Linked DNA regions of Oryzias latipes. The protein of the gene in region 2 purifies or fractionates together with the protein of the main gene of each other region. This does not show direct contact. Links are inferred from orthologs where the notes say so. Each region holds a gene or a part of one and is shown on either strand. Other genes may lie near its edges.

Region 1 (3,655 bases), on a different chromosome or scaffold from region 2:
CAGGGTGGAGCATAACGTCTACGGCCAAAAAAGTAGCAAAGGAAATCACAAGACTATTAACTAAATAAAAGTCAGATTAGGCAACGAACAAAATCTTATTTCATTGACACTCATTAAGTGGTGGGCTAGAAGCAAAGATCTGCTTTCCCCCAGTTGCCTAGTTACCTATTCCTGCAAGTTATCTTGGGTAGAATGGTGTGTTCAGGTGAGAGAAGAAGGGCACTAAGGCGAAATCTTATATCTCTATGACCACAATTAGTGTTTAGCCCAATTGGTTCTCACCGTCATCTCTAGTTGTCCAACCCAACCTGGAGTCCCAAAAAGAAAAAGTGAGAGCCATTCTCTGCAACTGAGTCTATCTTTTCATCCTCAAAAAAAGTCTGGAATACTAATATACCACAATAAAAAATAAATAAAACACCACAGAATATGTTTAATGGCCAAAATAAAACACAAAAACTGCTGTTTTTATTTGAGTTTTTATGCTTAAAGCGTCCCCTATGATTCAGGTTTTGACACCATGCTTCCTCCGACCCACACACACACACACACACACACACGCACAAACACGTGTCCTTGAGTGTTGTCTCAAGCTCAGGAGGCCAGACAAAAGCATATATTTTTAGACGCAGTGTCTCTAAAGCCAAGAGCATGACCGCTTCCCCGCCTAATCTGATAAAGATGTAGCTGTTTAATGCCATAAATTGGAGCACATGAGCAAACACCTTCCCTTCAATTAGCTGCCGTTGCACAGCAATCGCGCTCAGGATTGAGAAAAGTCTTTACTGTCTGGGATTTCCCAACCTAATGGGTACAAATTTGTAATTCGAATAACTGCTGGATGCTCTATATTTGATTACGAACCCATCTGCGCGGCCCGGTAGATACAAACTATGGTGTATTTCAAAGATTACAACTTTATTCCACTATATTTTCACTTTTGAATGGTTCCATGAGAATTCCTGCAGCGTTAATGCAGAAAGTAAATAAATAATTATATAAGCGGAGCATAGTGACACACAATATATGCTGCTGCCGCAGCAGCAAATAGAGTGCCCTTTTAATTATGCAGGAGACATCCGAAAGCAACAGCACTCCTCACACTCCGGGAAGCAGCTCAGTGAATACACCATATTAGAGGCTGTAACAGACAGAGAGCCTGGGAGGGAAAAAAAAGGGAAGGGGAGAGCTGCGGGGAAAAAAAAAGGGAACTGAAATGATTTGAGATGAGAAATAGTGGTGAAAAAAAAAACCAGATGGGAGTTACAGAGATGTGAAGACAAGTCAAGGCACAAGCACACTATTGTAAGTAGTATGATGCAGCAGAGGCTGGGGGGGGGGGGGGGGGGGGCACTGGACCAAAGGCGGCAATTGGGGAAGTACAGGATACAAACGAGTTCTATACTCGACCATTGATGGATGGGGTTTAAAACAGAGACCCAACAACGGACGCTTATTGGATATGCGATGACCGGAGCAATACAAGTCTTCAATGCCAAAGGAATAGAACTGAAATAAAGTAAAAGAAAGATCAATATTTCATTAAAACTGTAATGTACAGGGATGGTGTTATTGTCCCTTAAAAAATAAAGAAAAAAAACCCAAAGAAAATCGACTTGTTCTAGAGGGTTTAAAGGGAATGTCTCTCTACCGTTGTAGCGGAACATAAGGATTGTTTCCCAAATCTCATGGAATTAAAATCTCTGATCAAATACAGCCTCCAACTGTAAAACTTTGGTTGGAGGCTGTGCAAAAAAGCTATACAAAAAAAGTAGAAAAGAGGCCAGAAGAGGTGGATATTTGCACGCAGGCAAAAAGATAAGACGCTGAGTTGCAGTGACGATGTGAGAATGTTGCTGTCCGATGGATTGATGCAAACCACAAAGCAAGGTGGAATGTTAATTAGGCCTCCTGGTTAGGCGTTTCCCCTCTAACAGCAACTCTAATAGTTATAAAACCACAAGCAAGTTGATTTTTCAACCTTTTTTCAAATCTTCTGTTCCTCACACCTTCCCTTTCATAAGACGAAAGGGCAAGCAGTGTAACCGCCAGAGGGGGCAGGTCATGGCTTGACACTTCTAAGGACAGTGAGGGGATTGTTGCCAGCTCTCATCACCCAACCTTTGGGATGTAATAACTGCAAACCAAGTCCTTATGTGAGCTGTCTGCAACCCTCAAACACATTTTTGCCGGGGTTAGTAGCTTTGACGCCCCTGACGGAAAAGGCAGCCTGCGATGTGAGAGAAAACAGTCAAACATGTTTAGTCGAGGGGGTAACCGAATCCCCTACCCAGCCCTCTCTGAACCTTTTCCATTTCTTCCCACATAACATGTGAATGGCACTCCAAACCCCAAACTGATCAATACCACTAACTTGACACACATTAGCACCATAAAGGCAACAAGACTACTGAGACTAGCACTGTCAGAAAGCATTATGGTGGAAAGGACACTAAGAAGAAGAAGCAGGAGACATTTAGGAGTGGTGGAGGGAAACAAGGGACAACTGACGTGAGCTTTTCTTACCTGTTTGTTGTATTTGTTGATCGTCTGAGTGCTGTACTCGGAGCAGTGGTCAGATCCGAGGGAAATGTTATCTCCGGTGCCGACAAAGGTGTTGGCAGGGGGCAAGTCCTGAACTGCCTGGTGCTTTTTTCCCGCTGTCGGTGACTGTGGGTGAAGTTGGACGGTGGGAAGAGGCGAACTGGACTTGTAGTGCCGTGCCAGGTCTGGGCTCCCCGGCCCGCCGTTCACCGAGCGGTACCTGCCCATGCCGGGGCTGTCCGACAGCTTCTCGCTGACGCCATCGTAGCGCTGCCCATTGGGTTTGGAGGCCTCTACGGTGACGATGCTACTGTAGAGAGGCTGTTTGGACTTTTGTTTCTTTTTATCCTTTTTAGGCTTTTTAGACTTCTCATGCTGCTGCGGCGTAAAAAAGTCTTCGTGATCCTTCTTGCCAGCCTCGTAGCCGTTCTTGTTTTTTGGACGGCAATAACGGGCCATAACAACGACCAGAATGATGAGGATGACAGTCATAATGCCTGACACCACTCCAATTACAATACTCAGACGCTGTTTGCTTAGATCATAGTTGGGGTCCCCTGCAATGTTAGTGTTCAGAGATGTGCTCAAACTCCTAGCCACTTGGGTCTCCACTATTGTGGAGTTAGATAGAGTCTCATTAACATACACATGAACCAAGGTGGTGGTGCTCTGAGAGGGTTGCCCATTGTCAGTCACCTGGACCACTAGTCTGTGGAGGCCATAATGCTTCTGCTCCAGCTTAGCCATCAGCGATATGACCCCAGTCGCCCCATCAATCTCAAAAAGCCTGAAGGGATTTCCCCCGATGATGCTGTAGTTGAGGTCTGCATTTATCCCAGTGTCTGTATCTGTGGCTATTACCGTTCTGACCACCGTCCTGACAGTACTTGAGGGAGGAAGGAGCGTGTAGGAGCTGTTTATGGGGAAAGTTACTGTTGGAGCGTTGTCATTTTCATCCATGACAAAGAGCGAGACCGTAGCAGTGGCTGATCTGGGAGGGTCGCCCCCATCCACAGCTTTGACGCGAAATGTGTACGTAGTTTTCTGCTCTCTGTCAAAGGACAGGGTGGAAAAAATGGTCCCAGTCTCATTCTCGATGGAAAAGATCTCC
Region 2 (3,655 bases):
TCAGGATTTTTCCCGCCACAGTTCAGTCTCAAAGCATGACAAAGTATGACACAAACATCTTTTTACTATCAGGATGCATCTTCAGAAGTCACTTCTTTTAAGGAATGAGAACAATAATTACTGCAGTTCTTCTCACTCTTTGTTTATTTTCTTAAGCCCAGAAGGGAACTTTTTGGAGTTTTCAATCAAACCTGTTTTTTCTACCAATAATAGCAAATGGTAAATGGTGTATACTTATACCAGTGTTCTTCAACCTATTTTGAGCCACGGCACACTTTAACCTTGACAAAAATCCCGCGGCACACCAGCATCGAAAAAGAAAAAAAGGATAAACTCATAGTCTGTATTGATCTACAGTCCCTCCACAATCTCACATACATTTTTGAGATAATTGTTGCAGAAAAAGCTGGAAGCTGCAGCTGTTTTTTCTGAAAGATGTAATAAAAGTTAAGTTAGAAAATTTAAAAACTGATGCGTGTGGGTTGTGGTTTCAAGACGTCAAGACTCATTGTGCGCTGAGACGCTGTCACTTTAACCCAATGCATTATGGGAGATGTAGTGCGAATAGCTGGCAAACGCAGACGGACTAACGTCTCTGAGCTTCATGGTTTTGTTCACTTGTTCCACGGTCTGACACCGGATTCTGTGGAAAGCTACACCGCTGAAGACGAGCTTTAGCTGGTATTTTTGTTTTTTTTTTTCGAACTAAGAGACTTATGAGCAGAATCAGAACAAGGAAGTGAAGACTTTAACCACTTCTGATTGGTCAGACTGATGATGTGTGATTAAGCCTCCAAGAATGATTGGTGGAGACAGTTAAAGGGGCGGGACTGTTCCGAAAACAGCTGATGCTGCAGCTAAATCGTGGTACCGTCATTCTTATCAAAATGTCTTTAATAGAATCAAATAAACACAAGAAAAAAGTATTTTATGATCTTTCATATTCCTAACTACTCAGTGATTTATCAGGGCCTGTTTGGATGAACAAAGAGCTGATTTCCTGGAGATGGAAATGTTTTTAGATCAGTGAATGAGGGCAATTTCCCACAGCACACCTGACCATCTCCTACGGCACACCGGTTGAAAAACACTGACTTGTATAGCGCTTTTCTACCTACAAGGCCCAAACCGCTTTACAGTCACACACACATTCACACACTGGTGGCGGCTCCGACGCTGAACAATGGCGCCAACCTCCCACCAGAGGCAAGGTGGGGTTCAGCGTCTTGCCCAAGGACGTATCGACTCATGGGCGTGCAAGGCGGGAATCGAGCCTGCAATCTTACGATCATGGGTCAACCGCCCTACCGCTGCACCACGGCCGCCCCTGAGGTTCTCTCATTGTATCCAAGGTCATGTCAGCCGTGAAGACCCAGGGTGCAAACTACAGACAAAAGTCCCAAACAGGGCTACTGGAGCAGTATCCAGGGGTGATTGCACTGCTCGCCTCAGGACAAGCGCCTTCAGTCGGGGCATCTACAAGACAACTCTGAGCTGTTTTAGACAATTAAACTGCCCCACACATCTGTATACATTTATATTGTATGTTTTCCCCCCTTAATTGTTGCTTCTATGTCAATGAATTCCCTGTTGTGTTGTTCTATTGACATCCCCATCTGTGTCTCTTCTGTGTTGACTTAACTCACCTTTTTCTTTAAAGACCATCAACCTGTTCTATAGGAACTAAAGATGGAAAGGAGCCTAAAAGGCTATAATCTTAGGTTTGCATTTTGGAATGTTATATTAATATATTCTGCTGTGCGTCAGAATCCCCGTCTGTTACTCAATTATAAATTTATAGGAGAAAAAAAATTTAGCAAAATGACCCTATGGAAGAAGTGAAGGTCAAGCTTAAATCTATAGGAAACCAAAGTAGCTGGTAGTAACCTGGCATCCGTACCCCCCTCCCAAAGTATGGATGGGTTTCAGAACATCAGCAGCTGTGATTGGGTGAAAACGGGTGTGAAGAAAAGAAAGAACATCCACGCAGTGAGAGGACTTCCCACTGCACCATTCCCAGCAAGATGCCAACACGATGACACGGTGCTCTAACAGACGCAAGCAAAAACACGGCCAGTGACTATTTATTTGCATAGCAGTGATGCACAGCCGCATGTCAGGATTTCAACAGGCGCTTAGCTTCCTGCTTTACAACCATGGCTGCCACAAAGCAGCATGACCGTAAGAGGAATGTTGGCAGCGGGTGGAGGGCATGTCAGAGCCTCCGAGGGGCTTCAGGCTTCCCGAAAGCCACTGCCTTCGCCACTCTGCTGTCTCTGGACAGGAAGGAAGGGAGAAGCAGGGACACATGCAGCATCGGGGGTGGGGGGCCTCCCTTTTAACACCTTGACCAAGAATTTCAGAAAGACTAAGACACGCTAAAGTCGTTTCCTGGACCATCGTCTGGAAATGTTTCCTGAAAGTACATCCTACTGGAAGACAGGAAGGTTTCTTCTGCTGCTGTAATTCTTACCACATCACTGGCACTGGAGAAATCGTTGTTGAGCAAGCTTTCCAGGGCCATCCAACGAACGGGTCGGTTCTCATTGTCCCCCAAACAGTGGTAATCCATGGGAAATAGATCTCGAGCCAGGGCGTTATCTGTAATCTTCACCTGCATGCTGTCGTCAATGCTGTCAGAGGGAGGACAAGGGACAGAACAGGTGTGTTCCTTAGCTCCTAACCAAATCCCAAAACAAGAGTCACCTGAAAGCTGCGAGGAAGAACCAGAGGCGCTTTAGGGACACTCACACGCAGTTCCTCGCAGCCAGGTCTTTGTGTATGACCTCCCTGCGTGCAAGGTAGCTCATTCCACAGGCGATCTGGATGGCCATGTAAACCAAGTCCTGTTGAGAGATGGCCTGAAAGGAAATGAGAGACAGAGTGTCAATGTGCATTTCAGAGAAAGACAGGAAAACTAAACAAGAGGGAGTGGGAAATGTCAAGCTAGTAGCTCCAGCCTCCCTGTTTCCTTCACACTGAGCCAAAAACCGCCGTCACACATGAACGTTATGACGAAAAACCAACCAATTCCTTGATGTATGTGATGTGTAATTAAAAGCGTGCTTTTGGTTGCTCTGTGGATTGCCGACCGTTTGTCTTTATTACTGTTAACTTTGCCCCTCAGAGTATGGGATGCTGGAACAGCAGATCAGATGTACACCTTAGGCAGAGAGCTGGATGGTTCACAAGAGTTCTCATGTCAAATCCACTTGGGCTTTGTGGATTTGGAGACAGCTTTTCATCTTCTCCCCCACAGTGTTCAGTGGGAGGAGCTATGGGAATGTGGAGTCTGGGGCCCCCTACTACAGAGCGGTAGTTCGGCTTGTATTAGCGGGAAGTCGAACCTGTTCCCAGTTCACATTGGACCCCTCTTCAGTTGGTTCTGTTCATAATCTTTATGGGGTCAGCAGATGATGTTGTTCTAAAGCCTTTGTCCAACCAGGGCCATCAGTGCCACTGGGGTGGTGTGCAGTCTAGTGTGAAGCAGCTGAATAAAATAGAACAGTTCCAAGGTGGAGACCATAATTCTACACTGGAGAAAGGTTGTCTGCCCTCTTTGGGTGGAAAGCTCCTGCCCCAAGGGGGGTGTTGTTCATGAGTGAGGGAAAGGTAGAGTGAGATTGACAGTTGGATAGGTGCAGTGACAGTAGAC

Evidence for each region.
Region 1: the proteins of ryk (region 2) and pcdh7 purify together in Homo sapiens (affinity purification with mass spectrometry; 3 studies listed by BioGRID and IntAct, with this or other methods). This does not show direct contact. The link is inferred for Oryzias latipes from reciprocal best matches to the Homo sapiens genes RYK and PCDH7.

The regions. Positions count from the first base shown.
Region 1 is NC_019876.2:16,449,611-16,453,265, forward strand, and holds part of pcdh7 (protocadherin-7), read right to left. Parts: coding exon 2,527-3,655; intron 1-2,526.
Region 2 is NC_019862.2:2,768,318-2,771,972, forward strand, and holds part of ryk (tyrosine-protein kinase RYK), read right to left. Parts: intron 2,862-3,655; coding exon 2,752-2,861; intron 2,634-2,751; coding exon 2,474-2,633; intron 1-2,473. UniProt on the Homo sapiens protein: May be a coreceptor along with FZD8 of Wnt proteins, such as WNT1, WNT3, WNT3A and WNT5A. Involved in neuron differentiation, axon guidance, corpus callosum establishment and neurite outgrowth.